Linked DNA regions of Rhinolophus ferrumequinum. The protein of the gene in region 3 purifies or fractionates together with the protein of the main gene of each other region. This does not show direct contact. Links are inferred from orthologs where the notes say so. Each region holds a gene or a part of one and is shown on either strand. Other genes may lie near its edges.

Region 1 (7,847 bases), on a different chromosome or scaffold from region 3:
CAGTGTCCCTGACCTGAGAACGGCAGCTCTGCTTACCTCCCCCTGCCCCCAGTAGTCTCCCCACCCCCAGCTCCCTGTCTCGGGTGTCTTCTCACCAGGGTGTGAGTTGGGACCAGCCCCCCTCGGGCCAGGTGGGTCCTCATGGCATCCGCCAGCTTGGCCACCAGCCGCTCTCGCACGGAATCTGGCTCCTTCTGGGGAGAGGGAGGGCAATGGGGCCATGGAAAAGACCTAGGAATTGGGGAAGAAAGGAACAGGAAAGGGAGGAGAGAAGGGGACTTTGTCCTCCTTCTCCTTTGCTTCATCCCCGTGCCTCTGCCAGGGTCCTGCCCAGAACAGGACAGAGATGGATTCTTCCCCACAACAGTGTCCTGGGACCTAGCGCACAAGGTGCCCAGGGCATGTTTGATGAGTGAATGAATGGGGGAGAAGGCACGGCCTCGAGGCAGGAGTGTCAGCGGGCTGGCAGGAAGTTGGGCCCCGAGGGAGGGTCTCACCTGACACCGGGCCAGCGCTGCCTTATAGTACGTCAGGGCCTGCTCATGCTGCCCCAGTCTGGCTGCGGCTGCCCCCAGGCCCTCGCAGGCCTGCCACTGCCCCTTCACGTCACCTGGGGAAGACAGCCTGACAGGTCCTTTCATGGCTCCTTACCCCACTGACCCTCCCTCCAGAGGTACTCCCACCCCCACCCCCCCCTTGGGTGGCCCCAAGGACTCTCGGCCACCTGCTACCCCCTGGCCCTCACCTGCATCCTGGGCAGCCTGCAAAGCGTGCAGGTAGTTGTCCCTGGCGGCCTTGTGGTCCCCTAGCTGGCTCAGTGCAAACGCCAGGCTGCCGAAGCTCCGACCCTGTTCCCACCGCTGCCCCACAGAGCCTGGTGACACAGCCCCCACCATCCCCAGAGGGCCTGGCTGCTGGGGCATCCGCACCCTGCCCCCAGCAACCAAAGGGCGGGGTGGGAGGGTGGGTGCACACCTCCAGATGCACAGAGAGGCCTGAGAGGTCCACACCCAGCCTCTCCCCAGTCTGAGTTTTGGCCTGAGTGCCTCCCTGGCTAGTCTGAGCCGGGCGGCAGGCCAGGCTGTTCCATCTCCCAGCCCCAGGCTTCTCCGCTGGGCCCACAGCCCTCTGTCCTGCCTGGCTGTCCCACTCCTGCATCCCCAGCCCTCAGCGCTGGTTCTGGGCTTCCCGGCCCCACGGCTGGTCCTAAAGGTCCACCCACACTTCAGCCTTGGGGCCCCTCCCGGCACCCCCCCTTAGTCCCTTGACCCCAATCCCATCCTCCAGCCCCGGCGCTCACCATGCAGGTCGGCAGCCTTCTGGTGGAATTCCCGGGCCTCCCAATAGCTGCCCAGGGCGTTGTGGGCCATCCCTAGGTTTCTCAGCACTGTGGCCTCCTCTCCGGGCCCGGGGCACAGGGGCAGGGCCTGCAGGAAGGCCTCTGCTGCTAGTGGGAACAGCTGGAGCTGGCAGTAGCTCAGGCCTAGGTCGTTATAGAGTTGCCCTAGAGGGCGAGGCCAGGGTCACCGGTGGCCAGGTCAGAGGCAGCTGAGGCTGTACTGGTGTAGCCCCTGTCCCACTCTCCCAGGGCCCCCCGGCCCCATCCCCAGCCCTCGGAATTGCCTCTGCTTCCACCCCACCTCCCAGAGCACCCCAGGTCTGAGTGTCCCCAGGTCCCATGCCTCACTCCCCGAACGCCTCACCCAGCAGTCCCCGCTCAGCGCTCTTCTCAGCGAGCCTCCGGCTCTCCTCCAGCACCCGCACTACTTCTCCCACACCGTGCTGCCCGCTCTTCAGCAGGCACCCCGCTGCAGCCCCCAGGGCCAGGGCTGCAGCCCGGGGCTGCCCTGCTTGGGCATAGGCCCGGCTCGCCTCCTGCAGGTAGTGGGCTGCTAGCTCAGGCCGTCCCAGAGCCTGGTAGCAGGTTCCCATTTTGGCCTGGGCTTGCCCCTGGTCACTGAGTGGCTGGTAGTGGCCCAGGGCCCTGTGGTACCAGGCCAAAGCTTGAGGCAGGTCCCCCAGGGCATGGTATGCCAAAGCCACGTTGAAACACTGGTCACCATGACTCCTGCCCTGTGCCTTCTCCTCAGGCTGGGCTCGCAGGAGCAGCTCAAGGCCTCTGGCTGGGTCCCCAGTCTCCACGTAGGCAGCCCCCAGGTTGAAGGCACAGGCCCGGAGAACAGGGGTGTCCCTTTTCCGTGGGGCCTTGGAGGCCAGGAAGAAGGCCCTCTGGAAGCTGGTCAAAGCCTCATGGTTCCGGCCGGCCAGTAGGGCCCCGTGGCCGGCCCTGGTGAGGGCTTGGATGCTGGCCTCGTGCTGTGGCCACTTCCTTCTCTTCTCTTTCTTCTTGGAACTTGAGAGTTCAGGCTCAGGCTCTGGTGGGGCACCGTCAGGGTTGGGGGACGACATGGTGCTGCCAATGACAGCAGACAGCACAGGGCCCAGCACGTCACCCTTGGCTTCCTCCAAAGCAGGATCCCCGTGTCCCTGCCCTGCTGGGACCCCAGGGCTTCAGGAATGTCTCCGTGGCACCTACTCCATCGGTCCCACTGGGCACCATGCCAACGCACTCTACTGTCCCGACTAATTCTTAGTCCTCCTTCCAGACTCAGCTCAAGTCATAGCTCTCCCCCGCACCCCAGCCGGGTCCTTCTGTACGCCCACCCCACCCTCTGTCTTTTACGGCACCTGTCACACTGGATCAGAGTTGGTAACGTCCTGTCTCTCTCCCATTCAGATCTGGAGCAACTCGAAGGGCCTGGCACATAGTAGATTCTCAATAAATGTTCATCAAACGAGACGGAAGGGTTCTGGGGACGGGTGGTCGTCGTACGGTAGCACAACACCGCGAGTACGCTCAATGCCACCTAACATGGCTTAAAATGCCATATTTTATGTTCCCTCTGTTTTACCGCAACACCGCTGTTTGCTGAATGCATAAATGAATGGACGGAAGAACAGAGCAGACCCAGGCCTTCTCCTCCATCATCTTCTCCGTCCTGTGCCTCCGCACATACCCATGCACTCGTAAGCTAGGTGCTCCTGCTGTCTAACCCCAAGACATAGTTGGGGGTCACTTCAACAAATACTCAGTGAGCTCCTGCCATGTGTTAGAGCCACACAAAGCCCTGGGGGCACAAAGCGGAAAAGGCTATCGAGTTGGCAAGGAGCCAAGGTCCAGAAGTGAGCACATGTCTATTTACTGCCCGCTCTGGTCCTCAGGGGGGAACTCTTCCTCCCCTATCCCTTTGGCTTTTTGTCTGCTGGCTACTTTTAGTCCCGCAACACCCTGCTCTGGTCTCCAGGCGACTCTTAAACCCAAGTACACTTCTTGGGTTTAAGCCTTTTCATGAACTCTCCTCCCAAGAGACAGAAAAAGGGGTGGAGAAGACCCAGGCACTGAGTCCTCAGCCCCACCCATTTTCTTCTCTCCCTCCCTCCTCTTTTTAGGAGGAGCAGGCTGAGGTGATACATTCTCCTTTTAAAGAAATTCCCACGGCTCCTAAGAACACCCAGGACTCCTGCTTCTTGAAAGGCCCTCACTCAGTCTTGGGGCTGCAGCCATAAGATGCCTTACCTCCTTCCTTCCTTCCTTCGATCTTCTCCACAGAGGGCTTTCTGGAATGGTCCCTCTGGCTTGGGTTACCTCCCCCAGCTCTCAGCTCAGAGCTGGAGGGTTACCAGACAACCAGGTACCGCCCCCCTCTCCTAGTGAATTCTTTGATTGACAGATCAGGTGCCCTATCTTAGACATAGATACCTGGATTCCACCGCCCTTCCCGTCCCATCACTCCCCACTCCTTCAGACACACCCCTCAAGTACCTCTTCAGGGGCTTGTTGCTAGTTAGAACCTCAAAGCTCATCTATGCAGTACCCCTATTTCACAGAGTGGCGGGGGAGGATGAGTGGGGGACCCAGGCTCAGAGAGCAGGTGTGACTTGCCTGAGGTCACAGAGCAGCCAGGCAGCTGGGATTAGACCCCAGGTTTTCTGATTCTGAGCTGACTAGCTTAGCAGTACTCTTCACTCACTGTGACTGCAAACTTTGACGAGGCTTGCGCTGGCGGGGAAGTGAGCCCTTACACGCATACACACGTGAGCAGCCACACACACTCACACGCTTGCACACTGTGCTTTTGTGTGGTGGTCTCACAGTTGGGAACAAGGTGAAAGGCTGATGGTCAGAAGAGGCCTGGGGATCAGAAGAGCCTCCCTGCCCCATTTCCCCAGCTCCACTGCTCTGCAGCCCCCAAGCGGTGCTTCATGAGCGGGCGGCAGGCCCCAACTCACCAAGCTGGCCTTGCATCAAAGCAGATGCCTTCACTCACCTGGGGAAAGGCCTCTTTAAGTTGGCAGGGCTTTGCCCGAAACAGTAAGGCAATAGCGGGGCTCAGCGATGGCCTCCGCCCTCTGTGTATCACTGATCTCTGACTTATTTGACCGTATGTTTATCACTCATTCCAGAACAGCAAGCTTCTTTAGGGCACTCACTGTGCTTATTCATCTGTGCACCGCACCACCTAGTTTAGGTAGGGCACCGCCCCCAGCAGGCCCTCAAGTTAGCGGGACCAAGAAATACTGTAGGAAGCGGGGCGGACTTAATGGGAATACTAGGGGGGAAATGACAGGGGCAACGGCAGGGGCAGGGGCCGGGGCTGCTTGAAATAAGACGGTTTAGCAACGAAGGAGCCCAGGAGGGACAGCAAGCCAAGGTGCCGCGAGGAGGGCGGTGCTCTCGTGCTCTCCACCTGGCGGTGCGCCTTTGCAGCCTGGAACTACAAATCCCAGGGCCCCCTGCGCGCAGACCGGAAGTGTCCTGTCCGACCTTGGCGACGGTGAGGGGCGGTGGCCGGCGGCGGGAGATTCAAACTTGGAGAAGGAGCAACATGGAGGGGAGAGGAGCGGGCCCTGGCCGGGCTGTCTGTGAGTGTCAGAAGGGGCGGAGGAGGGTCCAGCGGTGGTGCCAGCAGTCGGGGGCGCGGCGGTCGTGGTCTTGGGAGAGGTTGGGGCGGGGGGCGGGGGGCGGGCGCGGGGCCTCCAGGCAAGGGCCGGCGGGACACTGTTCTGCGCGGGAGCGAGCGCTGAGTCCGGACTCCCGCGGCCGGAGTAACGCTGTGAGCAGCCAAACCTCCCCGACTTCTGTGCCGACAGAGCGTTTTCTCTCTTATTCCCAAGTTCTGGGGTTCGGGGGCTGGGAGAAGGTAGGTGGTCTGGGTGGCCCCTTAAAATTCGGCGGTTGCTGATGGCTGCCGTGCTTGCTAAGCGCTGCCAGGGGACAGGACGCCGGAAGAGACCGACCTGGAGGTTGAGGGGAGCCAAAGTTGTGCCTCCCCAAAATATGCCTTTTGGGATATTGATTTTAAGCTGGTTATTAGGGAACAAGAGACTCAGAAAGAACCTTTGACCCTCCCCTTACCTGCCTGAAGGAAATCGGGTAGAAAACCTGCTTCCAGGAAGGGAGCGTCCCCTCGGCATGATACTGTGAACTAAACGAGGCAGACGGAGAAGTCCCGCAAGGGCTGTTTGTTGAGCCCCCCTGCGTGTTCCACTTTCTGCGTGGCCCGGCAAGAACTCTGCACCACGTGTTTGCTCTTCCTCATCTACCTGAGACTTACCTGCTTTCCCTTTGGAATCCCAGACCTCTGCCTCCCTCTCCTTTGTCCAGAATAGCATATTAGCCTCAACTGCCCAATGCCTTTTGGGGTCTCATATTCTTATGGCACCCCCCCACCTACATCCGTGATCAACTTTGGACCTTTTCTTGTGTTAATCTGTCTCCTGTTAATTTGATGATTAGCCCAGCCAGAAGAACTTAGAAAGGTGAGGGGAAAGTTATTTTTTTGACCCCCACAGGGGGCTCCTTGACTTTTCGATGCCTCTTTGAGACAGTGTCTGTTGAACGTCAGGGTGTGGGAATTACCAGGGGAGCGTGTTTAAAATGCAAATTCATGAGCCCTCACCCAGAGCGGCAGGTCCCCCCCTGGGTGGGGGCCCATCATCAGCATGTATTCCAGCTCTGCTGTGCTTCTTCCTCACCTCAGGTCATTGTGATGCAGGTCGTTCCTGGGCCACACTTTCCAAATCACTGCTCTAGAAAGAGCGATGAGTCCGAAGGATGGGGCCGCAGAAAGGTTCCCATCCGACCTTCGGAAAGAAAGGCCAAATCTCCTCTCCCACCCTTTTCCCTTCCTCTCCATTAGCTTTCAGAAAACAAAGTCCATGTTCAGCAACGCGGTGAAGGCAAGCTAGTTCCAGACCTGAGAAGAGCGGGAAGACTGATTTTTTTTTTTTTTAGACTGTGTGTGTCTGTACAAAGCCCCGCCCGTCTCTCATAGTCCTGAATTCATAACTCGGAGGTGATGTCATTCACTTACTGGTTTATTTTCCATGCTTAGCAACCAGCAACCAGCACTTGTTCCTTGAACACCCCCTCGGAGGAACTGCTGGATTTCCTGCAGTTGGCCAGTACTTTCAAACCTGCACACAGAGGGCGTGTGTGTGTGTGTGTGTGTGTGTGTGTGTGTGAACTGCCAATTCAAACAAGCCCTGCCCCTCCCCCAAAAGATTGAAGGATATGTAATAAAAAGAAATAAGATAAAGAGTGGGAATGACATTAAGTGCTGAGGCAAAGACAGATTGGCCACGGTCTGTCTCTTTTCAAGCCCTCCGAGTTTATTTTCTTGGGGTGTGTGCGTGTGTATGTGTGTGTGTGTGTGTGTGTAGGCTTCTCTCATCCTGATTCTGTGTTTGTCTAGAGAGATGGGGGACAGGAGAAAGAAGGAGAAGGGGTGGCTGTGGCCGAGGCAGAATGTGAATGCCCTCTCATTTCAGGGGTTCGCTGTTCTTGAGTTTGGGGGTCAGAATATTGTCTGCATTTAGCCTGGAGATTATTTATTTAGCCTGGAGATTGTTTTCCTCCTGCAGTGACCAATACCAAAAAGGAGAGTAAGACACCACCTTTGTGATCTTTGAAAATTCTTTGTCCTTCCGTTTAATCCCAAGTGACTGGCCTTTTTCACGCGCTGCTCTCTGAACTGCCTTTCTTCCTTTCCCACCTGCTCGTTCTTTAAGATTCTTTAAGGTTCATTTCATCGGTAGAATCCTTTGCTTTCCCTGCTGTTGGTATAGACTGTTCATGGGCTGTAATCACAGCACATGAGGTTGGAGTTTTTACCTACATGCTGTCCTATTCTAATAATTACCTCAGTATTTGTCGAGAGCAGGGGTCCACCTGTCATGTGGAGGTACTGGGTCAACGAACGGCTGTTGAATGACGAGTCCTAGTCGGTTCTGCTCACCGAGGCTCTGGGACAGTACCTGAGGACACAAGCCCTGTTCTTGGAGAACTCAGTCTAATTAGGGATGAAATAAGGGGTGAAGTTCCCAGCCAAGGAGCGATGTGGACATCCCTGCTGGGAGGCACTGAGGGAGGGTCCGTGACGTAGATTTGGGAACGAGGAGGGGGTCAGGAAGACGGCTGGGGAGGACGGGGAGGGATGCGTCTGAGACAGAAGGGTCCCCTGTCCATGGGTGGAGAGCCCCCTCCCACAGGGTGCTGACTAGGGCAGCTTTGCTGGAGGGGGCAGAAGAGCGGAGCCAGGCTGTCCTGGGAGGAGGGAGGGAGATTTGGGAGATGCGTCCGGTCTTCGAGCAGTTGCCAAGGCCAGTCTGTTAAGAAGAAGCTTCAGGGAGAAGTGGCCAAATGGCTCAGGTGGTTAGAGCGCGAGCTCTTAATGACAGGGTTGCCGGTTCGATTCCCGCATGGGATGGTGGGCTGCGCCCCCTGCAGCTAAGATTGAAAACGGCGACTGGACTTGGGGCTGGGCTGCGTCCTCCACAGCTAGATT
Region 2 (7,706 bases), on a different chromosome or scaffold from region 3:
GGCAAACCAGGGTTCTTCACATCCCATCCTCCACTCCTTGCCCAGTACATGTTACTGCCTGACAGTGAGTCAGCTCTTGCTTTTATCCCCAGGACGAGCCAAGCTAAGTAGCTGGGAGGATTCTGATACCTTGCCCCCTGCCACTGCCTCTGTGGGGTGTACATGCCCCATATGATCCCCAGGACTGTAGTGGGCAGTCTACTGAAATGCACCACCCACTGCCCCCAGTATCCCAAGCCCTAATCCCTGGAATCTATGAACAGGATGAGATACCATACCCATGATTACGTTCTGTTGTATGTCACAGTTGACCTTAACATAAGATTATCTGGGTGGGCCTGATCTCATTATATGAGCCCCTTATTAAAAGCAGAGAGTTTTCTATGGCTGGTGGCAGAAGGAGAAGTCAGAGAGATTCAAAGCAGGAGAAAGATTTGATGTGCCATTGCTGGCTTGGAGATGGGGGATGGGACACATGACAAGGAAAACAGCTGGCCTCCAGAAGCAGAGTGGCCCCTGGCTGACAGCCAACAGAGAATCAGGAACCCAAGTTCTATATCCACAAAGAACTGAATTCTGTCAACAACAAGAATGCACTTGGAAGCAGATTTTCCCCCCAGTCTCAGGTTCCTCAGACTTGCAGGAACTGTGATTTTAGCCATGTGATACTGTGAGCAGAGAATTCAGTAACACCATACTGGACTTCTGACCTACAGATCATATGAGCTAACTAATGGATGTTGTTTTAAGCCACTAGTGGTCATGTGTTACACAGCAATAGAAAACTACCACAACCACTGTCACTAAATGAACCCTTCTCTAGACAGGATATGAGGTGGCCCTCCAGCCTCACGAGTGTATCTTAGTTTCCTCTCTATCATCAACCCACAAAGATAAACAGATCAATTCTCAGGCATTAGTAAACAACCTTTGGTCATTTATGATTATATGGGGAAGGGAAAAGATGGGAATTCCTAATATTTGGCCTGTGAGGGATATATATGTTATTTTCTTTTGGGTAAAAAAGGAAATATGACCTTATTTTGAAGTAACAAGCTGGTGAGACCTCACAATTGTGGATGGTAGAATCTCTGGTAGCATATGGTACCAGCCTCTGAAAAGGAAAGGCATTCTAATAAAAAGGGAATGATCTCTGGGGTCAGGTGGCTATGAGTATGCTTTGCAGGTTGCTAGCTGTCTGATCATGGGTTTGTGGAAAATTTTTTAACCTCTTGGAGCCCCGCTCTAGTTATCTTAAAACAGGAATAATACCTATCTAATAAGATTGGGGAAAATTAAATGAAATAGTTTATATAAGGTCTCAGTGCCTGCAGCACAGTAGACTGTCAATACTTGTCTATGAAAAGTTTGTCTCCATTATTAGAGTGGAATTTTTTCACAACTTCCTTGCAGTGTTTTTAAAGCAAAAATAACTATAGCATACACCAGACCAATACTGTCCTACAGAAATATAATGCAGGCCACATATGTAGTTTAAATTTTTCTAGTAGCCCCATGGAAAAAAAGTAAAAATAAACACATGAAACTCATTTTAATAATATATTTTAACCTAGTATCAAAATATTGTCATTTCACCATGCAGTCAATATAAAAGTATATTAATGATATATTTACTAAGCCTTCGAAATTTAGTTGTATTTTTTTCTACTTATAGCATATTTCAATCCAATATAGCTGTGTTTCAAGAGCTCAGTAGCAACATGTAGTAGCAACATGCATGTATGGTATTGGACAGCTTAGCACTAGACCTCCAAATTAATATTTCAATAAATTCTCCATTACTCTTTGTTAATTCTAAAATAAACATAAATAGATGATAAGTAGATAATTATAGACGTATGAGAACACATATGCACACACATTACACCCTGGCACATACCAAACCCGGATGGTTTTCTTTTGCTTTGTCTTGTTTTGTTTTGTTTACCATCATTTAGTTACAATGAGTCACACTTCAGTTAGAAGATCAGGGTATAAGTGGTACATGGGGTTCTGATTTCAAATTCCACAACATACCACAAATCAGAGGTACAAAGCCAAAGTAAAGTAATACTAGGAACCATGATAGCTAGGTTAAAACAAAAAGATATCTTGCACACACAAAAAATACACATTAGTTTTTAAAGTAACTTTAGTAGAGGATTATATATTTATTTCCTTTGCTTTTCCTTTGAAAACATTGGACTAGATTTCTGGATTCTACATAAGCTTGTTTTCACTTTCTAAGTCGAAATCTCCCTTATGTGAAAATGAGGACTAAAGCAAATTAGAACTGGTGAAGAATAGGAGCAGTACACAGCAGCCCCATGAAGACTCCCACACAGTCTGTGACACTCATATGGGGACATTCAAAGACGGTTCAGACAGTGATCTTGCCCTTAGGGTGGATACATTCAGATAGAAAAAAAATAGGACACATCCAAATATGTACAATACAAGGTGGAACACTGAAAGGGATTGAGAAATACCACACACACAAAAAAGCTACCACGAGTTATCTATAAGAACAGAATCCTTTTTAGGGGAGATGAGGGAGGGTTTCCTAGAAAATTATTTTTTGTGAGGTTTTAGAAAATAGTCTTTAAAGGATAGTTAACAGGTCTCAGTTCAACTCAACAGATCCTTGCTGTCTACCTACAGTGTGGCAGGCCCCATAGGAGGCAGTGGTGATTTACTGACGGGAGTCTGTAGGCTTTTGAGATGGGGATGGAGAATGGTGAGACGAGTAAAAGCAGCACTGCTCTGCATCCCAGCAGCTTTTTGCACCTCTGACATCCCTCTGCCTCTAAAGTCTTCCCAGGCTCTGCCTCTCATACCCATAACTTGTCTCTTCTTTGTTTCTGATCCTTCACTTACAACAGAACTCTTAGTCTTACCTTATTCTCAGGCCAGCCTGGCCTCGGGATGAATGTCTCATTCTCTGGCCTCTGCTCTGCAGCCACATGCAGTGTCTGCAGAGCCCCTGCTCTGGCTCTAGCTCTACTCAGGAAGCTGCTGAATCAAGAAGCTGCCACCACAGCTTCCGGCACCAGCAGTACTCTGGTGTGAAGAGGAAGTTGGGCAGTTTGCTCAGTGTTATCTTAGAGATAATTCTAGTGGAGGACATTTGAGACAGCCTCTGGGGATCCAGAAAGGATTCCTAAAAGAGCAGGTACTTGAGGAATTATCTAAGAAAGGAAGGATGCGATTTACGGGCATCGAAGAACAACATGGATGACATCAGGAAGAGATGAGAGTGTGATGTCCTTAGGGAACTAGAGTAGGAATGCAGGGTTGGAGGAAGGTACCTGTGGGTGTACAGAGGAAATGATGCTGGGCCTGCAGAACAGGATGGGGTCATGCTAGGGAGTTTGACTTTATGTAGAAGATGGTAATAAGTAGGCAGAAAGACAAAATGCATGACTGATGTTACTTTAAGAATAAAGTTTATATATATGGACATATCATTAATGTATCATACATACTCTTTGAACTTCAAAATATTCTCGTTTCAATGACTTCCTTGAGAAGCTCCATGTAGCATTCATTCACAAAGGGCTGTATGTGAAAACTCGAAATGGAATTATAGCACCTACATGATTATTTCGTGCTCATCGGTTTCCTTTTAAGAAGTCATCAGTACTGTGGAGGTTGGTTTCTTCCTGGTTAATTTTTCATTAATCTGAAGAGCTCTTTAAAAATTAACTAGGATTATCTCATGAACAATAATCGCACACACATGAGATTCAATGGGCACTGTCATTCCATGACTTATTCTGCTATTCATGTATTCTCTCCAGGACAATATTTTTCACTTTGTCTTCTCTCACAGTATAGAACTGCATATTCTACTCTACTAAAAAGTAGGTTAAGTGCAAAGAGAAAAATGATGAGAATGTCTTAGAAGAGGTTATGTCTTCAAAGAGAAAGAAATTAACTTATTTGGGGGGGGGGCATTAACGTTTTGACCATTTGATAAGTTCATGGGAATTGCTTAAATGAAGAGAAGATAAAAGGTCTTTTTTTTAAAAAAAATAATAATAATTACCTTTAGTAAAAAGAATGATCTCTACAGAAATTTATTGGTTTAGGAAATTGAAAAGGACTAAAGGGGCTTATTAGAGTTTCTTGCTCCAGCAAGACCTTCCCAACATATTCTTTTGCCCACCAAGAAATAATTTCAGTTCTACTTTCATATTCCACTAACTGATAATTGTAAATCAATGAGGCAGATATACAAAATATTAAGATAAGAATTATTTGTTAAGAATTCTGATAAGTAGCCATAGTGTTATGCATTATAGTTATAGTACCGTGTTTTCCCGACAATAAGACCAGGTCTTATACCATATTTCCCCCAAAATAAGACTGGGTCTTATATTAATTTTTGCTCCAAAAGACTCATTAGGGTGTATTTTTCAAGGGATGTCTTATTTTTTCATGTACAACAATCTACATTTATTCAAATACAGTCACGTCATCTTCTGGAACATCGTCATAACGTACTAAATGTGTCCGTCTGACGATCTTAACTAGGGCTTATTTTCGGGGTAGGTCTTATTTTCGGGGAAACACGGTATTATATCTTCATTTTGTTTTTATATAGTTTTATTACATCTATATGTATTTTTTTAAAGAACATTTTTAAAATTAATGGACTTTTTTTTTAGTTTTAGGTTTACGGAAAAATTGGGTGGAAAGTACATATACCCCTCATCTACCAACCCTCAGCTTCCCCTGTTATTAACGTCTTGTATTAGTGTGGCTTATTTGTTATAATTGATCATTTTAAACAAAGTTTTAAACTCTCTTCTAAAAAGGTTTTGAATATCTTATGTTAGATTTATTCTTAGAGACTTAATATTCTCTAATATTACTGTAAATAGTTTCTTTTTCACTACGTTTTCTAGTTGTTTGGTGCTCGTATATAGGAATGCAACTGACTTTTGTCTGACATTGGACATTTTGTGAATTTGTAGATTACTTTGGGTTTTCTATGTAAACAATATCAACTGCAAATATTGACCATTTTATTTCCTTCTTTGCCAAACCTTATGCCTCGTATATACTGGTTAGGACCTCCAATGTAAGATTTAATAAAAAAGACAACAGAGGAATCTCTGTCTCATTCCAGTTTATAAAAGTAATGCTTCTAATATTTTCCCACTTAGAATGTTGTTTGCTTTAGTTTATCTACAGGTAACTCTTAATCACATTAAGGAAGATGAGAGGGTAGACCCAGCATGTATACAATTGGTGTCCTCAAATACGAACCCTTCCCCTGCCCCAAAGGACCATCTTAAGTATTTAAAGACATAAATCAAGAAAACTTTTTCTCCAGATAAGAGGTGACTTGACTCCACTATGAACCAACCAACATGAAACATATCCTAGCAAGAAAAGTTATTGAGCATTAAAGATAAAGAAAGAAAACTGGTTTGCCAGGCAAAAGTTTAACTCACAATAACTGTGTTTCAGGTTTCACCATGGCCCTGATTAGAGGTCAGTAAAATAATGTCCTCAAAGAACTCAAAGTCCTCAAGGATAGAAAGTGTGACTCAAGAATTTCATGCCCGGTAAGTTGCTTTTCAGGTATAAAAGCAATATAAGTACAATTCTGAATATGGAAGAATTCAGGGAATATCATACCCATTAGTTCTTCTTGAACAAACTACTTGAAGATTCACTTTCAACCAACTAAGAGATAAATAGAGAAACTATGGCAAAAGGACAAAGTATGCAGTATTGAATTTTACTGTGACAATAGAAAATAAAAGGTTTGTGGTTAAAATGTAAATGTCACAAATTTTGATGTTAAAGGAATGTTACTTTTAACAAAAGTTGGGTCAGGGGCCGGCCCGGTGGCTCAGGCGGTTAGAGCTCCATGCTCCTGACTCCGAAGGCTGCCGGTTCGATTCCCACATGGGCCAGTGGGCTCTCAGCCACAAGGTTGCCAGTTCGATTCCTCGACTCCCTCAAGGGATGGTGGGCTCCGCCCCCTGCAACTAAGATTGAACACGGCACCTTGAGCTGAGCTGCCTCCAGGATGGCTTAGTTGGTTGGAGTGCATCCTCTCAACCACAAGGTTGCCGGTTCAACTCCTGCAAGGGATGGTGGGCTGTGCCCCCTGCAACTAGCAACGGCAACTGGACCTGGAGCTGAGCTGCGCCCGACACAACTAAGACTGAAAGGACAACAACTTGAAGCTGAATGGCACCCTCCACAACTAAGATTGAAAGGACAACAACTTGACTTGGAGGACAGGCCTGGAAGTACACACTGTTCCCCTTCAAAAAAAAAAAAAAATGTTGGGTCAAGAAAAAAAAGGTAAAGGCTCTAATAATATATATAAGAAAATTCATCTGGTAAGGGGGGTGGGGGATGGAAGATGAGGGTAAACGGGATCAGATATATGGTGATGGAAGGGGAACTGACTCTGGGTGGTGAACACACAATGTGATATATAGATGATGTATTACAGAATTGTACACCTGAAATCTATGTAATTTTACTAATAATTGTCACCCCAATGAACTTAAAAAAAAAATCCAGGTGATTCTCATACGTAGCAAAATTTAGGAACCACTGCACAATGGGAATGACGATAGTTACTGTGCTGTTTTAAGCCTCAGTTGTCTACAGTAAGTACACCAAACACTCCTGACTTGTACCAGTCTCAGGACTGTTGAGCAATGAAGACAGCAGTGTGTAACAATCAGTACATTAACGTACAATCTTGACAAGAACAAGCTGTTCGTGACTATGAATCTGGACAATTATTATGGAAGTTACCAACAAAGGTTACAGGGAATAAACGCAACCCGCATGCCCAGTACCCAGACGTCCATATCAACCTTGGAGACTGACAAAAGAACAGTAAACCCAGGGCAGAACAAAAATAAATTAACAAACAAACAAACCCCAGAAATAATGACTGTAAGTTCTGGTATTCAGCAAACTCAAGAATAGGGTCTCGTTGGGAGAAGAGGAGTTGGGAACTGACATAATCCTTGTCCTTTCTTTCCTGTCCACATGACTTTCTTAGTCCCATTCTGGGTTTTCCTATCAGTCATTTGCTTGTCTGTGGTTTTAGTTCCACAGAAACAGCAAAACACATTCCAGGTTATCTGGCTGGCTGCACTTCTGAGCCATTGGTAGCCAATATTTGGGCTTTTCTTTTACATTTTCTCTGTATACTGTAGGAACAGTTCCTGCTGTCACTTATCATGGTCCCCCCACCCCATAATTTTGAGTCCCTAACTTTAGCCATAAAAAAATACACATTTACTTTGTTTGTTTTTCTGGTAGGAAAACTATCCTGAGTTTCCTTCCTACAGCGAATTCCCTTTCTTCAGAGTGATCTACATATTTTCAGGTTTTGAGAACCAGTAGATCTTGCTGCTATAACATCTCATCTCAAGGGTTGGAGCAGATTCCTCGTCAGCGTCTCTTGCTCCTGATTTCACAGAAATCTGTGGCACCCCACGCACTCCTGGGTTAGCAGACATTGTGGCCTCACCTCGCTGGGACTTTAGACACCTGGCCCAGCCCATTTTTGATTTTTGAAAATGTTCTTTGTGTGCTTGAAATGAATGTGTTTTCTGCAAGTGTGTCCATTAAGTCAAGCTTTCTAATCATATTGTTTGAATCTTGTCTTTGTCTGGTGTTTCTTGAGTCTGTTTATTTTATCAATATTGAAAAAGGTG
Region 3 (6,951 bases):
TGTTTCCCCGAAAATAAGACCTAGCCGGACAATCAGCTCTAATGAGTCTTTTGGAGCAAAAATTAGTATAAGACCCGGTCTTATTTTACTATAAAACTGGGTCTTATACAACATAACATAATACCGGGTCTTATATTAATTTTTGCTCCAAAAGACTCATTAGAGCTGATTGTCCAGCTAGGTCTTATTTTGGGGGACACATGGTATGTGTTTGGCATATTCTAGGTGCTAGAGATACAGGAATGACCATGCCAGGTCAAAGCCTGCCCTCATAGAACTTACATTCTAGTAGGTGAAACTAATAGATTTGGAAGAGAATATTGAACATTGAAGGCCTAGAATTAAGCCCTTTATTATAGGAGGATTATAGATCTATTTATGGGAAGTAAGTTAAAATATTAACCCTCCTTGTCCTGAAGAGGCCCTGTAGCCTGAAATGCTTCTCATTAAGTGTTCCTCAACCACTCAAAAAACAGCCTAATACATGCATTTAAAATGTACCTACCAGTAAAAGTACAATTTGACTTTTATTTCCAAGAATGCCTATAAATACTGCTCCCAGACAATCACAATAAACTGTACTTCAAAACTTTCCAAATGTGACAGCTCTTGGATCAAAACATTACTATAACCATTTTAAAAATAACTAGAAATGCTTTTCTAATAGACCATAAAATTTAAGTGGAAAAAAGTATCCAAATAAAACAAATCTTGATGTTACAAAAAAAGTCAAGATTTGATCTTAGTGGGCTTTAAAAATCTCACTGATGTTTAAGTCCTGACTACCCTAGGCTGTAACACCTGTCTTATTTCCCAAAAAATTAAATTTAACTGAGTACGGTCGTTGGTTGTTATGTGAAAATATTTTAAGAGGATGCGATACCTTTTAGGTCATGAAGAAATTACTGGAAAAGAGCTCACTTTTAATATTCAATTAATTGTCAATCTCAACTCCTTGCTTCAGTCTAAACACTGTAAACTCAAGACTATTCTGCTATATTTTAAAAGGAAGGATACAAATTGATGTATGTGTAATTCAACTTCTTAAATGTGGAAGACTCGAGAAATAAGGCAGCAGATAAGTGTTCCATTTTTATATTCTTAAAAAGAGATTATGGCAAATGTATTTGAAGATCCAAGCTCCACACCTATCCAATCTACAACACCTAGACTACAGAAAGCTGATTTAAACCTAACCCTACCACTTCTTTAAGTGTTTCTTAACAAGCAACCCCTTCTTTCTATACAAATGAGAAACAATAGGAAAGTGCTTGTTCCAACAAGAACTTATAACAATGCATTACACAACTGATCTCATTTGCTTTACAATGCTAACATTTTTCTGTGCTACTGTATACCCTGTAGTCAATGAAGGATGTACCTTACATTTTGGGGAACAAATACTGGGATCCCAAATGGCTTAAAAATGTCACTCGAGTTTTTTTCGGTTGAAAATCCAAACCTTGTTTTTAATTACAAAACTAAAAGTGTCTAGCAAGCAAAGATTAGGCATAAAATGAACTGATTCTCTTTTCACCACACTCTTGTCCCAAAAAGGGCACGTGAATCAACTTAAATATGTAGTCTGCATCTAAGTCAGATGGGAGAAGTTAAACAGTCGGGAAAAGTCATTTTGGACCAAAGAGATGCTTCCACAAATAAATTCATTTCATTCGAGTACAAAAGGATCTTTCAAGTTATCGCCTACACAAGTAGCTGTAGAAGGTGTTGTTTTGCGCTGTACTCCCTGGCAGAAACTAATCTTGAGATTTTAAACCTTCCTGGCTTTTAGGTGCATTTGAGACGGCCGGGATTTGAAAAGATCACCTCTGAATATGATGTAGGAAGCAGGCAGGATATTCAACTAAGGCTGAAAAATGCTGTCTTAATTTGATGAGTCCCTGACTTGCAGGAGTTAAAACTCTCACTCCTTATATTGCGGTGACGTAATCTTCCACACTGCATTTCTCTTGGACTTAAAGGGGGGGAAAACAAAACGAACAAAGAAAATATCCCCCTAGTAAGAGGAATTAAGCAAGTGGCCAAACGACAGTTTCGGGAGGTGGTTAGGTAACTCCCTGAAAAGGAAGCTTCGGTTGAATAGGCAGGAAGATTGAGTTGGAGAAGCAAACGGAAATGGCATGAGAAACTCAGCCTAAGGCAAAAATAAAGGCGACTGGAGAAACCACGACCAGGCCCGCCGAGCCCGTTCGAAGCGTCGGGCGGCGAGGCCGCAGAGGAGAGCGCGTCGCAGCCAAAGCCGGGGCGGCCGACGAGCCGCCCCCTCCCCGGCCACCACTTCCCCGCCGCGCCAGCAATTCCGCTCCCCTCCCCCCGCCCGCCGCAAAATGTCCGCGGCCGCGCCGGGCGAAGCAGGAAGTCGAAGCCGGAGCGCAGGGGGCAGACCCAGGCCGGCAGCCCAGGCCACCGACACTTCGTTCGGCCTGTGCACCCGCCAGCGGCTCCAAGGCCCAGGCCCACGGCGCCCCGGCCTGCCGTCCGCCCTCGGAGCCGGCCGGGGGGAGGGGAGCCCGGGCTGCCGAGATGGGTGTGACCCCTTCCTTCCGCCGCAGCCCGGTGACAGCCCGGCCCCGCCCGCGCCCTCAGGCCAGCACCCCGCGCCCCCGCCGCGCTCCTCTCTGGGGAGCGGGCGCCCCCCGCCTTCCCCTTCGCGACCCTCTCCCCTCCACTGCCCGAAGGAACCCGGACTCGCGTTCCCCCGGACGGAGCAGCGCGAGCTGGCCACCACCCCACCCCACCCCCCCGCGCCCCGCGCTCTTCGGCCTCCCGGGATCCCAGAGGCGGGTTATCCCCGCGGACGGGAGAGGCTGGGGGCGGCGGGGCCAGGACCACGGAGACGCCGCTCCCGCGGGGAGCCTCGGGCCCCGCACTCACCTCAGCTTCTCGCCGGGGCGTTGGCAGCACTGCGCGGGGTCTCCTCGACTGCCGGACAGGGGCACGCGCCTGACGTCAGCACGCAGGCGACGCACGGTTGGGTACCCGCGGAAGTGGGAGGAACCGGGAGGCCAGCAGAGGCCGAGGCGGGGCTTGAATTCATCCCCCGCCCAGGCTCGGACAGTCTAACGCGCACGCGCCGCTCAGCGCCGCTTTCTTGTCTGTGGCTGATCTTCGTACGTCTCTCTCTCATGGTTGTTACGTATTTGTAATAATACTGTAAGCAGTCGTTTGCAGAGCGCTTTTGATCCTTGCAACTTTGTGAAGCAAAGTACTATTATCCCTATTTTGCATAGAAGACGGAGGATACTCAAAGGGTGAGAGTGACTTGCCCGAGACCACTGCAGGTGGATGGTCCAGACTCCCCAGGCCTGTGGGTCCGCCGCGGCATGAGAGCTGTTCTCATCTCTGCCTACACCCGTGTCCCTCGTTCCAGGTGTATATTCTTCTTTCGGTTTAGACACTTCCTCCCCACAGCAAGGCCTTGCACTCACTGTTGCCCCTGCCTGTCACCAGCCCTTTCGTTGGCTCTCAGCCATTCCTGATCATCCTATCCTCACAGCACCTGTTTATCATCTGTCTTCCCTGTGAGTGTGCAAGCTTTGGGAAAATGGCAACCTTCACTGTCATATTCTCGTATGTTTCCCAGTGTTAGAGGAAAACAGCTTATCTTAATAGTTCATTTATTGATGACTACCAAGCATATTTGGCCAACAAAGACACGTTTCCAATATATTTGATTTAATAGTCACATTTTCTTTGGGACTTATTAATTACCCAAGAAGAATAACTACATTTTTGAGTGTTTAGGTATGGTGCTAACAACTTTGGGTGTAATAGTAGCTAATTTAATACTCAACAACCATTTTATGAGTGAAGAACTAGAACCCCCATTTATTGATATATGAACTGAGGCTCAGAGGTGTTGGGAACGAGCCAAAGTTGCCAAGGCAGGAGGTGGCAGAGCTGGGACTTGGACCCAGGAAGCTGGCTCTAGTTGACAACTACATTATCATACTACCCAGCAGGCTTATTATAGACAAACCAAACAATAAGCTTCAGTTGTAGTCCTACACCTAATAATACCAACTATTAACATTTTGGTGTACACTTCAGATATTTATTTACGCTCGTATATATATGTGTGCATACACACACACATCTATTGCGCAAAAACATTGTAATCTGCCTTTCTCTCTAAAAACTACATTGTGAACATCTTTCCATGTCAAATAAAGCATTATTTGTAAAGGCTGTATGCTAATGTATGGGCGTTACAATATTTACCCAATCTCCTCTATTGGAATTTAGGTTATTTGGGGCTATTATAAATTTTTTGACTATTGTAAAAACGCATCAGCTTAGTTTCTTAAACTTCAGGGAAAAGTGGTTGTGTTTTCTCCACTGCAAGGCCAGTTGGCAGTGACCTTTCCTTCATCCCGTCTCACAATCCCATGAATGTCCCCAGACAATGTCTGCCCTTTCCATCAGCAGCAATATCTTGATGGGGTGTCACCCAACAGCTTGGCTTTTCCTGCCTTTATTCTGAGGACACTTGGTCGTCACTTGGTCTATTAGCACTTGGTCTATTATGTTGCCAGGTTTTTGGCAGAGGGGTCCACCACCACCTCCTCACAGCCCCAAAAGGCAGTAGCATTACTACTTAACCCCAGTCTACCCCTTCCCTTGCTGCTGGCCCTCCCAGACACCCGTGCCCCACCCCCTCCACAGCCCCATTTGCTACAGCTGCCTCGTATTAACAGGCAGGGCAGCTTGGGGGTTGCCAGCACCCCTTCCCCTGTGGTTACCAGCCCAGTGCCCATTCCTCCTTCTTCTGGTCACAGCACTTCCATTTCTCCTGGAGCAGCCCCACCCCCATTCTCAATCCAAGTGGTTCTAGAGGAAATGACTTAACTCCCGCCCCTTTGGCCAATCACTGCATTTTAGAGAGCCCTCTTGCCAGAGCATTTCAACAATGGGCATAGGACCCCATAAACCCCAACAAGAGTCAATTTGGGGACTTTGGCCAGAAGTGTCCAGTTGAATGAATCTATCTGCTGAGGGCAACGTGTAAGCATGGCACTGCTGGCAGCCATCTTCCCACTGCAAAGAAAGAGACTGCCTGAGAATGAGATGAAGACAGAGGGGGAAAATTGAGCTGAGAGATGGAGACAGTGAAACCAAGTTCCAGTGGCGTCGTTTGAGCCCTTGGATTCTGTTTTGCTTCAATTTCCAGTCACACTAGCCAATAAATTCCCTGTACTGCCTGAGCCAGGTTGAGTAGGTTTCTCTCACAACTGCAAGACTCTTGATGAATCACTCTGCCACCCCTGCCCCCCATGTCTGTTCCTTTGTGGTACTTGCCACCACCCTCTATGTAAATGGTTCCCAAATCTCTACCTCCTCCAGTCCTTATTCCCATCCCCATTTCCAAATTTTCAGCTACTAAGAAGTCCCATCAGCACCACTGAAATCATCTTCCAGTTGCCACCTGCTCTAACTTCTATGGTGCCCATATCCACTTTGGGTCCCTGCACCCTTATTCATCTGGGGACTCCCAACCTTTTCTGCACCATAGATCCCACAAAATTATCCACTTTCTAGATGTTTCCTTTGAGAATCTTTTAACTCATTTTATATAGCACAACCTTCATCTTTCCAGATCTCAGCTCTTATTAAGTCACTTCCTGGCTAACAAACCCCCAGTGTTTTCTCCTTCATCCTCAAAATAAAATGCAAAGTCCTTTAGCCAGGAATTTTGTGTTCTCCATGATCTAGCACCAACTTGCCTTTCCAAAGTTCTTTCCTTTTCCCTTCTGTATTAGGGTTCTCCAGAGGAATAGAACCAATAGAAAAGATCTGTGTCTTTATCTATCCACATCTATTGACCTTTCTATCTATCTACCCATATATATATATACGACTCACACAACTATAGAGGCTGATAAATCCCAAGATCTGCTGGGTGAGTTGGCAAGTTAGTGACCCAGGAAAGGTGACGGTGTAGTTCCAGTCCACATTCTAGGGCCTGAGAACCAGAAGAGCCAATGTCTCAGTGGCAGTCCAATGACCCCCAGGCTGCCCTGCCTGTTAATACTGCCCTGCCTGTTAATTCCTCAAGACCCAGGAAAAACCAATGTTTCAGTTTTAGTCCAAAGCCAAACAAAGGAGTTTGTTCTATCCAAGCCTTCAACTGATTGGACGAGGCCCACCACATTAGAGAGAGCAGTCTGCAGTACTCAGTCTACCAATCCCAATGTTAATCTCACCCCAAAACACCCACACAGACACACGCAGAATAACGTTTGACCAAATATCTGGGCACCCCATGGCCCAGTCAAATTGACATATAGAATTAACCATCACACAACTTATGCTGTAGCTAGACTGAATTACTTAGTTTAGTGCCATGTGCAGGTACCATGATTTCTTGCCTCTGTGCCCTGCTCATGCTGTTCCCTTTGTTTAGAACACCTTTCCCACTCACCCATCCTAGCTGTCAAGTCCCACTCTCCTTGCTACCATGAACTGTCCCTTTTGCCAACACTGTCCTGTGTCCTTTCCCACCTGTTCCTCTGCAGATTCAGTGGTTCCCTTCTCTGTCTGCCAAACTCCTATTCTCTCTGAAGCCTTCCCTGACAACCCCAGGCACCAAGCATCCCTATTACACTTTGTATTTCAAGCATACTTTATTGGGATCATTTATATCTGTGCTAACACAACCATGAGGCCGTGAGCAGGCAGAGATCTTATCTTATTCATTTTTGTATCCTTTGACCTAATTTCCTGGCACACTGCCAGCCTTCAAAAACGTTTGATACATAATGCATGAATGAATGCAGTGCCACCTCTTCCACAAAGCCTGCTCGGCTCTCAGCTGCCAAAAGCGATCTCTGCCTTTTCGAAACTCCCATAGCACTTCTCTGGGGACTTCTTGAGGCCCTTGCCCTGTTCTGTCATGTGTCTCCATGCTGTTTCTGCCCTACTGCAAACTCC
Region 4 (7,650 bases), on a different chromosome or scaffold from region 3:
CTTTTTCCAACGCAGACTGTCCTTCCATTACTTGATGTAAAGGAAAGATTTTCTATTTTAAAATCAGGTAGGTGTTCTAGTTAGCCAACCTGTTTATTCACTATCCTCACTGGTGACTCATTTTAGTTTCATCTGCAGTAATGAGCAGCTGACTGTGTCATATCGTACCCATCAGTTTAGACCACTGTTAATAAACATATAATCTTAACAGATCTAATTTCAGAGGACAGAAATTGGTACAATTTAGAGTGCTGATGCTGTCTTTAAGTGAGGCCCGAGATGAAGGCACTATTAGAAAGCTTTCATTGAATTAAAGGCACTACAGAGCAAGGGGTTCTTTCATTCCTTAGCAAAAATTCATAGGTTTTAAAAAACAAAGAAAATGTTAACTTTAATGTCTTGGAGAAATTTTAGTCAAGCACTAAAAGGGTTATTATCTCCTTATTCCTTTTTAAATAATTGGAGCAATGAGCCAAGAAAATATGATAATGCATTCCTGAAATATACCAGGCTTTGATTTCTTTCCAAAGGAGAAACTTACAATGATTTTAATTTATTAATTAGGCCTATTTACAATTGTCAAATTAATAAAAATGGGAACAAAACAAAGAGGCACTAGTTTCTTCATCTTTCATAGTTGGAATCACTAGAAACTATCTAAATTTAATAAGTCAAGAATTTATATTACTTAAAGTCATGAAGGTAAACTGGAAAACTAAAAATAATAGCTTAACAATCAAAAATTGAGAGGCACCAGGAGGAGAAAAAGCAAAAGGCTGTGTGCACCCAATTTCTCATCTTTCAGAGTATCAACAGATACTATCTAAAGTTGATATATCACAAAACAGAAGTATAACTTTTAAAGTAATAAAGGCAACCTCCAGAAGAACCAGAAATAAACTGTCAATAGTAGTTACCTCTGGAGTTTGGGAGGATGAGGTGGGGAATACTTTTTATTTTATACCTCTGTACAATTTGCACTTTCCTACCATCTGTGTACACGTATATTCATTTTTCAATCTAGTTTTTAAATTGTCAATAATCAGACACTTTAAAAAAAGAAAAAAAAGAACATGTACTGTATTTCATTCTCTGTACCTAACAACTCATGGACTGTCAACTTTATAAAATGGAACATATTCTAAAGTGAAATATCTCATCTATCAAATAAAAGTTAAGCTAAAGGGAGGAAAGCTTTTTTCCCCATAGTGCAAAGTTCATAGCTTACCATCCTTAATCAAAACAGCTCTGTGACAACTACAAACTTTTTAAAAACCTACACACACTTCTTGGTACTGTTTTAAAATCAAGACCTCCTTGACCAATTTAAGCAAAATCACTGATACTGTCCAAAAGATCTCCTGTAAACTACTCCTGAATGCAGTCAAGCTAACACAGAGGTCAGAGGCTTCATGGAGCAAACACACTAAACCAGTATGTCCTTACATCAAATCAATACGACATTTAGGGACTTATATTTTCTTTGAAATCAAAAACAGAGGCATTTTGAAAGTTTGCTATCTTCACTGATACTCTCAGGAATGTAAAAGTATGCATTGCAGTTTCAACCTCCTAGTGCTTGAGTTTTTTTTTAAAGCAATTTACTTCTGCTTCGACAAGCACTAAGACAGGCCAAAGCTGTTGGGTTTTCTGTTAACCCTTAGTTTCAAACTTTTAGGCTCACAATAGCATTTCACTGTTCTAATGCTCCTAAATATAATTACCCCAAAGAAATTTCAAACCACAACTGAATTCAAGGGAAGGGGGGCACTTCACTGATCATGGAATATGACTGAACATAATGATCTCAGGACTGGATTATTTCTGGTAACCACAAGAGTTATAACTTAGGCAATAAATAACATGAGTAAAGATCACAGATTTTCAAGCTTTGCCTAGGCTCATCCTCTTCTCACCTTGCATTATCTCACCCTATGGGACCATCCTTGAAGCCACAATGACAAAGAAGTATTCACAAAATTTTACTTTACACGTACACATCTAATCTTGGAGAAACATAAGTACGTAAGGTACATCCCTGAAAACACATCAACTTCACTCTTAAATAGTAACTCGTATGTCTAATTTACTGGCAGCTTGACCACAGTCCAGATACACTTCGTGAATTCTTACAGGTGATGAAGATAAACCTGACTTGGAGAACCCAAGGCTTTAGGCCTGCTGGAAATCAAAAGGGCAGCAAACTGAAGCAGTCCTGCCGTTTAAGCCCATAGCAACTTAAGTTAACTGAGGCATCACTTGGAATCAACTCTCACAACCCCAAATACATCCAGACCTAATGACGTAAACCCTTGTAAATTTCTTAGTAGGCGAGTCTCGCGAACCCACCAGGTGGACCTACTCTATTTCAAGGCTCCTCCTGCGGACTCTACTCTGGACAGTCAGCCACGCGATTCCCGGGTGCCCTGCACCACACCTTGGGGGTGCCCCGATCCAGCGCCCCATGCTCCTCCCCCGACCACTCGGTCACCCATCCCGAGTCCTCAGAGTCGCCCTCTCAGATCAACCCTCCACAACATCTCTCCCTCACCCACCCCTCCGCCAGGCCAAATCCAGCTGGCCCTCCCCCTCCCCTCCTACCCGTACCCCCAGACACTCACCCGCGGTAGTAAGCTTTCACCCGGACCTGGTGAGAATGGTCCCCGCTGCCGCCGCCTGTGATCGGGTGAGACATGGTAGTGCTGTCTCTCTGGGTCGGCATCTCCTTACTCCCCCGCCTCAACGCCGGAGGCCGAGGGTGCCTGGGGCGCGCCGGGGGGCTCCGCTGCTCGAGCCTCTCCCAGAGCCGCGGCAGTCCGCTCCCCTACCTGTTCTCCTCGCCCGCGGCGCCGACCCAAGGGTCGCCTCGCCCGGGCAGCCGGAACCGCGCGGCTCCTCCCACTGCCCACAGCCGCCACCGCCTCTACAGCCGCCCGGGCCCAGCACGCCTCCCTGCCTCCGGCCCTCCCACCTCGCTCGCTCCAAAGGCCCACATTCCGCGGGAGGGCGGGCACTACCACCTATCCAACTCAAGGAGCCTCAATGCCCGGCTGAACCATTCTTACGGAGGGCAAGGAAAAAGGGGGAGAGAGAATGGGAGACGCTGATGCTCACATCAAATACGCCGGGAGGGAGGTTTTCGTGGAATCTGTGACTGAGAGAATGCGACGGTTCGAGTAACTATAGTTCTGTAAAAAGCCCCCTCCCTATAGGGAAAATGGTAGGGGACAAGTGCTGCGGCATCTCACCCCAGTTTCCTAACTTGGTCGCGTCCGCGGCCAGCCGATTTGGGATTCGGCTAGATTTGCTGTGTGGGTTTCTGGGATTTGGAGTCCCCGGGGGATTCTGGGACTTGAGGTTCCTTACGTATGGAACGCCCCGCCTTCTCTCTGACAGTGTCTCCAGGTTGCGCCCCAGGAACTGTTGGCGTGGAAATCCTGAATCCAGCTTGGGCATCTGAGGTCACTGGAAATGACTGGGCTTCGTCACGATCTAGACTTTGTTCTCTGATGAATTCTCCCTTCCAATTGCATAAATCATCTCAATTATACAATGCCTTTTTTGGCAATACAAATTTGGTTACCTGTTTAGCATAGACTCTTTTATGGAAACAATTAAATAATGTAACAAATGTAATAAAGGTGGAAACTCAACCAGAAGATGCGATGGAAGACTGATTTTTCTTCCTTCGTGGCCCCCATATCTGCGCCCTTGTATGTTGCCATTGCATGGAACAAGTGTACGATGAATATTTATGCCTGCGGCCATCCATCCATCCATCCATCCATCAGCATTGTTTCTGTTAACACAGGCTAACCAAGGATTATAAAAAATCTATCCTTGTAGCGTAGTCCCTGCCTTTCCACTGGTCTTGGCTCCATCACACACTGCAATTAGACGTAGCATGAATCCAGCCCCTGCGTCAGTCTTGGTACCAACCCATGCTAAAAGGGTGGAATAATTAACGAAATAACTGTCTTTGCTATGATAAAATAGGCTTATGGGATTGACTCATCAGAGATATTTGTGACAGTTAACCTGGTATAATGTTCTTCAACTGCTACAAACTTGGATTATATGCTCTTAATAAAAGTCCCCACTGAAATTCTCCCTTGGTAACAGGATTTTTGGCACTTGGGGACCTCCATCAGCATATTAAATATGAATCAGTTAGCTATGAAATATAAACTATTTCTAAAATGAGATTGTGAAATTTTAGTTGGACTAATGGAAAAGTTGGTATGCTTGTGACATTATGAAATTTTAAACATTATATGCTCTAAAAAAGGAAATTTTTGCTATATGGGAAGTGAGACTTTAGAAAGGTAAGGCATGAAACCGTTTTATTTTGGATACTGATTCCTTAGCAGTTTGAAAAATCCTTTATCATTGGCCTTATAGCATCCTTTGAAGGTAACCATTCTCTCAGAAAAGGCTTATTGTTTACTTTGTCGTCAAAAAGAATCTATAAATATTTATAGTTTGCTTCATCCCACCATATAAATAAGTTTTCTTTTTCTGAATGATGAAAGCTTTTAGTTGTGATTATCAAGCAAAGCATGACCATAATTTTTTAACAGCATTATTGAGGTATAATTCACATACCATACAAGTTGTCCATTCAAAGTATATAATTCAATAATTTTTAGTGTATTCACAAAGTTATGCAATCATCTCCACTATCTAATATCAGACCATTTCCATCCCCCCAAAAGGAAACTATACATTCATTAGCAGTAACTCCCCACTCTCTTTAGCCTCTGGTAACCACTAGTGTATTTCTTGTCGCTACGGATTTTTCTATTCTGGCCGTTTCATATAAATGGAATCATACAATGTGTGGACTTTTGTGTCTGGCTTCTTTAGCTTAGCTTAATGTTTTCGAGATTCATCCATGTTGTATCATATATCAGTTCTGCATTCCCATATGTGGCTAAATACTATTTCATTGTATAAACATTCTACATTAACGATGCTATGAACATTCATATATAAGTTTTTGTGTGAAATATGTTTTTAATTCTCTTGGGCATATACGTAAGAGTAGAATTGCTGAGTCATACGGTGGCTCTATGTTTAATATCTTAAGGGAATGCCAAACTGTTTTCCAAAGTGACCGCACCATTTTACATTTGTACTAGCCTTGTATGAGGGGTCCAATTTCTTTACATCCTCACCAACACTTGTTATGGACTGTGTTCTTTGTTATAACCACCCCAGTGGTTGTGAAAGTGGTATCTCATTGTGATTTTGATTTGCATTTCCTTAATGATTAACGATGTTGAATCTTTTCATTTTTTATTGTCCATTTGTATATTTCCTTTGGAGAAATGTCTATTTAAATCCTTTGGCCATTTTTAAGTTGGGTGCCCTATGTCTTTTTATTGAGTTGTAAGAGTTCTCTATATATTGTGGAAATAAGTCCCTTTTTAGATGATTGCAAATATTATCTATTCTGTGCATTGTTTTTCCATTTTCTTGAGTGTATCATCTGCAGCACGATAGTTTTTAATTTTGATGAAGTCAGATGTATCTATTTTGTTGTTGCTGCTTATGCTTTCTGTGTCGTGTCTAAAAAGGCTTTGACTAACCGAAGGTCATGAAGATTTTACAATGAGTTTTCTTCTAAGACTTTTATAGTTTAAACTCTTATGTTTAGGTTTATGATCCATATTGAGTTAATTTTTGTGTGTAATATAAGTGGTCCAGATTCATTTCTTTGCATATGGATATCCAGTTATCCCAGTGCCATTTGTTGAAAAGCCTATTCTTTCCCCATGTAATTGTCTTGCACCCTTGTCAAAAATCAATTGACCAAAATGTAAGCGTTTATTTCTGAACTCTTTGATTCTATTCCATTGATCTATATAGCTATCCCTAATACAAAAATCACAGTTTTCATTACTGTAGTTTTGTAGTAAATTTTAAACAGAGAAATTTGAGTTTTACAACTTTATCTTTTTTAAGATCGTTTTGACTATTCTGGGTCTCTTACATTTCCGTATAAATTTTAGGATCGATTTGTCAATTACTTCAAACTAGTCAGTTGGGATTTTGATAGGGGTTGTGTTGAACCTGTAGAGCAGCGTGTGGAGTATTGTCATATCAACCGTATATATAGCCTTCCAAGCCATGAACACATAATGTCTTTTCCATTTATTTAGATCTTTAATTTCTTTCAACAATGCTTTGTGGTTTGCATAGTGTGATTTGCATTTCTTTTGTTAAAATTATTCCTAAGTATTTTATTCTTTTTGATGCTATTATAAATGGAATTGTTTTCTTAATTTCATTTTTTTAACTTTTTCATTCTATTATTCTAAATGAGCATTCTAAATGCCTGGAATCCTGAAATGTTTGAGAAATAATTACTTAAAAGTGTGTTAATTTCATGAAGTTTTAGAATTTTATTTCACCTATCAATACAGACACTGGTGGCTTTTAGCTCTGACTACACATAGGAATCACTGAGGAGCTTTTTATAAGCTATTTTGGTGGTAGTGGGAGGGTATCCCAGATCAATTGAAACAGAACCTAAGGGGGATGTCCTGGGGGATTTCTTTCCTTCCTTTCTTCCTTCCTTCCTTCCTTCCTTCCTTCCTTCCTTCCTTCCTTCCTTCCTTCCTTCCTTTCTTTCTTCTTTTAATTGACATATAAAAGACATATAATATTAGTTTCAGGTGTACAACATGATTCGACATATTTTGCAAAATTATCACCACAATAAGTCCAGTTAACATCCATCACTACACAGTTACAAATTTTTTTTCTTGTGATGAACACTTTAAAGATTTACTCTCTTAGCCACTTTCAAATATGTAATACAGTATGAGCTCTAATCATCATGCTGTGCATTACATCCCCAGGACTAATCTTGTCTCTGGAAGTTTGTACCTTTTCACCACCTTTACTAATTTCTTCCACCCTCCACCCTTCACCTCTAGCAACCACCAATCTGTTCTCTGTATCTGTGAGTTTGGCTTGTTTTGTTCTGTTTTGTGTTTGTGTTTTAGATTCCACTGTAAGGGCAATCATAGGGTATTTGCCTTTCTCTGACTTATTTCATTTAGCCTAAAGTCCTTAGGTCCATTCACATTGTCACAAATTGCAGGATATTTTTTAATGGCTGAATAATATTCTTTTGTGTGTGTATTTACATATATATATATACACACACACACACACACATATATACATATATATGTATATATATATGTGTGTGTGTATATATATATGTATATATATATACATATGTACATATATACATATCATATTTTCTTTATCCATTCAACCATTAATGGACACTTAGGTTGTTTCCATGTCTTGGCAATTGTAAACAATGCTAAAAGAACATGGTGCAGATATCTTTTTGAGTTGTGTTTTTGTTTTCTTTGAGTAATTACCCAGAAGTGGAATAGCTAGAGCATATGATAGTTTTATTTTTAATTTTTTGAGGAACCTCTATACTGTATTTCATAGTGGCTACATCAATTACATTCCCATCCTAATTTCATTTTTAATTATTCATTGCTAGTGTACAGAAATGCAATTAATTTTGCATATACCTTGTATCCTACAAGCTTGCTGAACTCATTTATTAGTTTTAATAGTGTTTTTAGTTTTAATAGGGAATTCCTTAGAATTTCCTAT

Evidence for each region.
Region 1: the proteins of CDC42 (region 3) and IQGAP3 purify together in Homo sapiens (affinity purification with mass spectrometry; 4 studies listed by BioGRID and IntAct, with this or other methods). This does not show direct contact. The link is inferred for Rhinolophus ferrumequinum from reciprocal best matches to the Homo sapiens genes CDC42 and IQGAP3.
Region 2: the proteins of CDC42 (region 3) and CDC42SE2 purify together in Homo sapiens (affinity purification with mass spectrometry; 4 studies listed by BioGRID and IntAct, counting the BioPlex papers as one, with this or other methods). This does not show direct contact. The link is inferred for Rhinolophus ferrumequinum from reciprocal best matches to the Homo sapiens genes CDC42 and CDC42SE2.
Region 4: the proteins of CDC42 (region 3) and PRKCI purify together in Homo sapiens (co-immunoprecipitation; 3 studies listed by BioGRID and IntAct, with this or other methods). This does not show direct contact. The link is inferred for Rhinolophus ferrumequinum from reciprocal best matches to the Homo sapiens genes CDC42 and PRKCI.

The regions. Positions count from the first base shown.
Region 1 is NC_046305.1:1,007,677-1,015,523, reverse strand, and holds the start of IQGAP3 (ras GTPase-activating-like protein IQGAP3), read left to right. Parts: upstream 1-4,828; 5' UTR 4,829-4,886; coding exon 4,887-4,923; intron 4,924-7,847. Other genes in the region: TTC24 (tetratricopeptide repeat protein 24), read right to left, coding at 96-194, 498-610, 746-874, 1,301-1,504, 1,704-2,409.
Region 2 is NC_046307.1:7,843,466-7,851,171, reverse strand, and holds the start of CDC42SE2 (CDC42 small effector protein 2), read right to left. Parts: upstream 3,015-7,706; 5' UTR 2,898-3,014; intron 1-2,897. UniProt on the Homo sapiens protein: Probably involved in the organization of the actin cytoskeleton by acting downstream of CDC42, inducing actin filament assembly. Alters CDC42-induced cell shape changes.
Region 3 is NC_046292.1:14,899,138-14,906,088, reverse strand, and holds the start of CDC42 (cell division control protein 42 homolog), read right to left. Parts: upstream 3,019-6,951; 5' UTR 2,896-3,018; intron 1-2,895. UniProt on the Homo sapiens protein: Plasma membrane-associated small GTPase which cycles between an active GTP-bound and an inactive GDP-bound state. In active state binds to a variety of effector proteins to regulate cellular responses. Involved in epithelial cell polarization processes.
Region 4 is NC_046285.1:72,048,414-72,056,063, forward strand, and holds the start of PRKCI (protein kinase C iota type), read right to left. Parts: upstream 3,019-7,650; 5' UTR 2,723-3,018; coding exon 2,622-2,722; intron 1-2,621.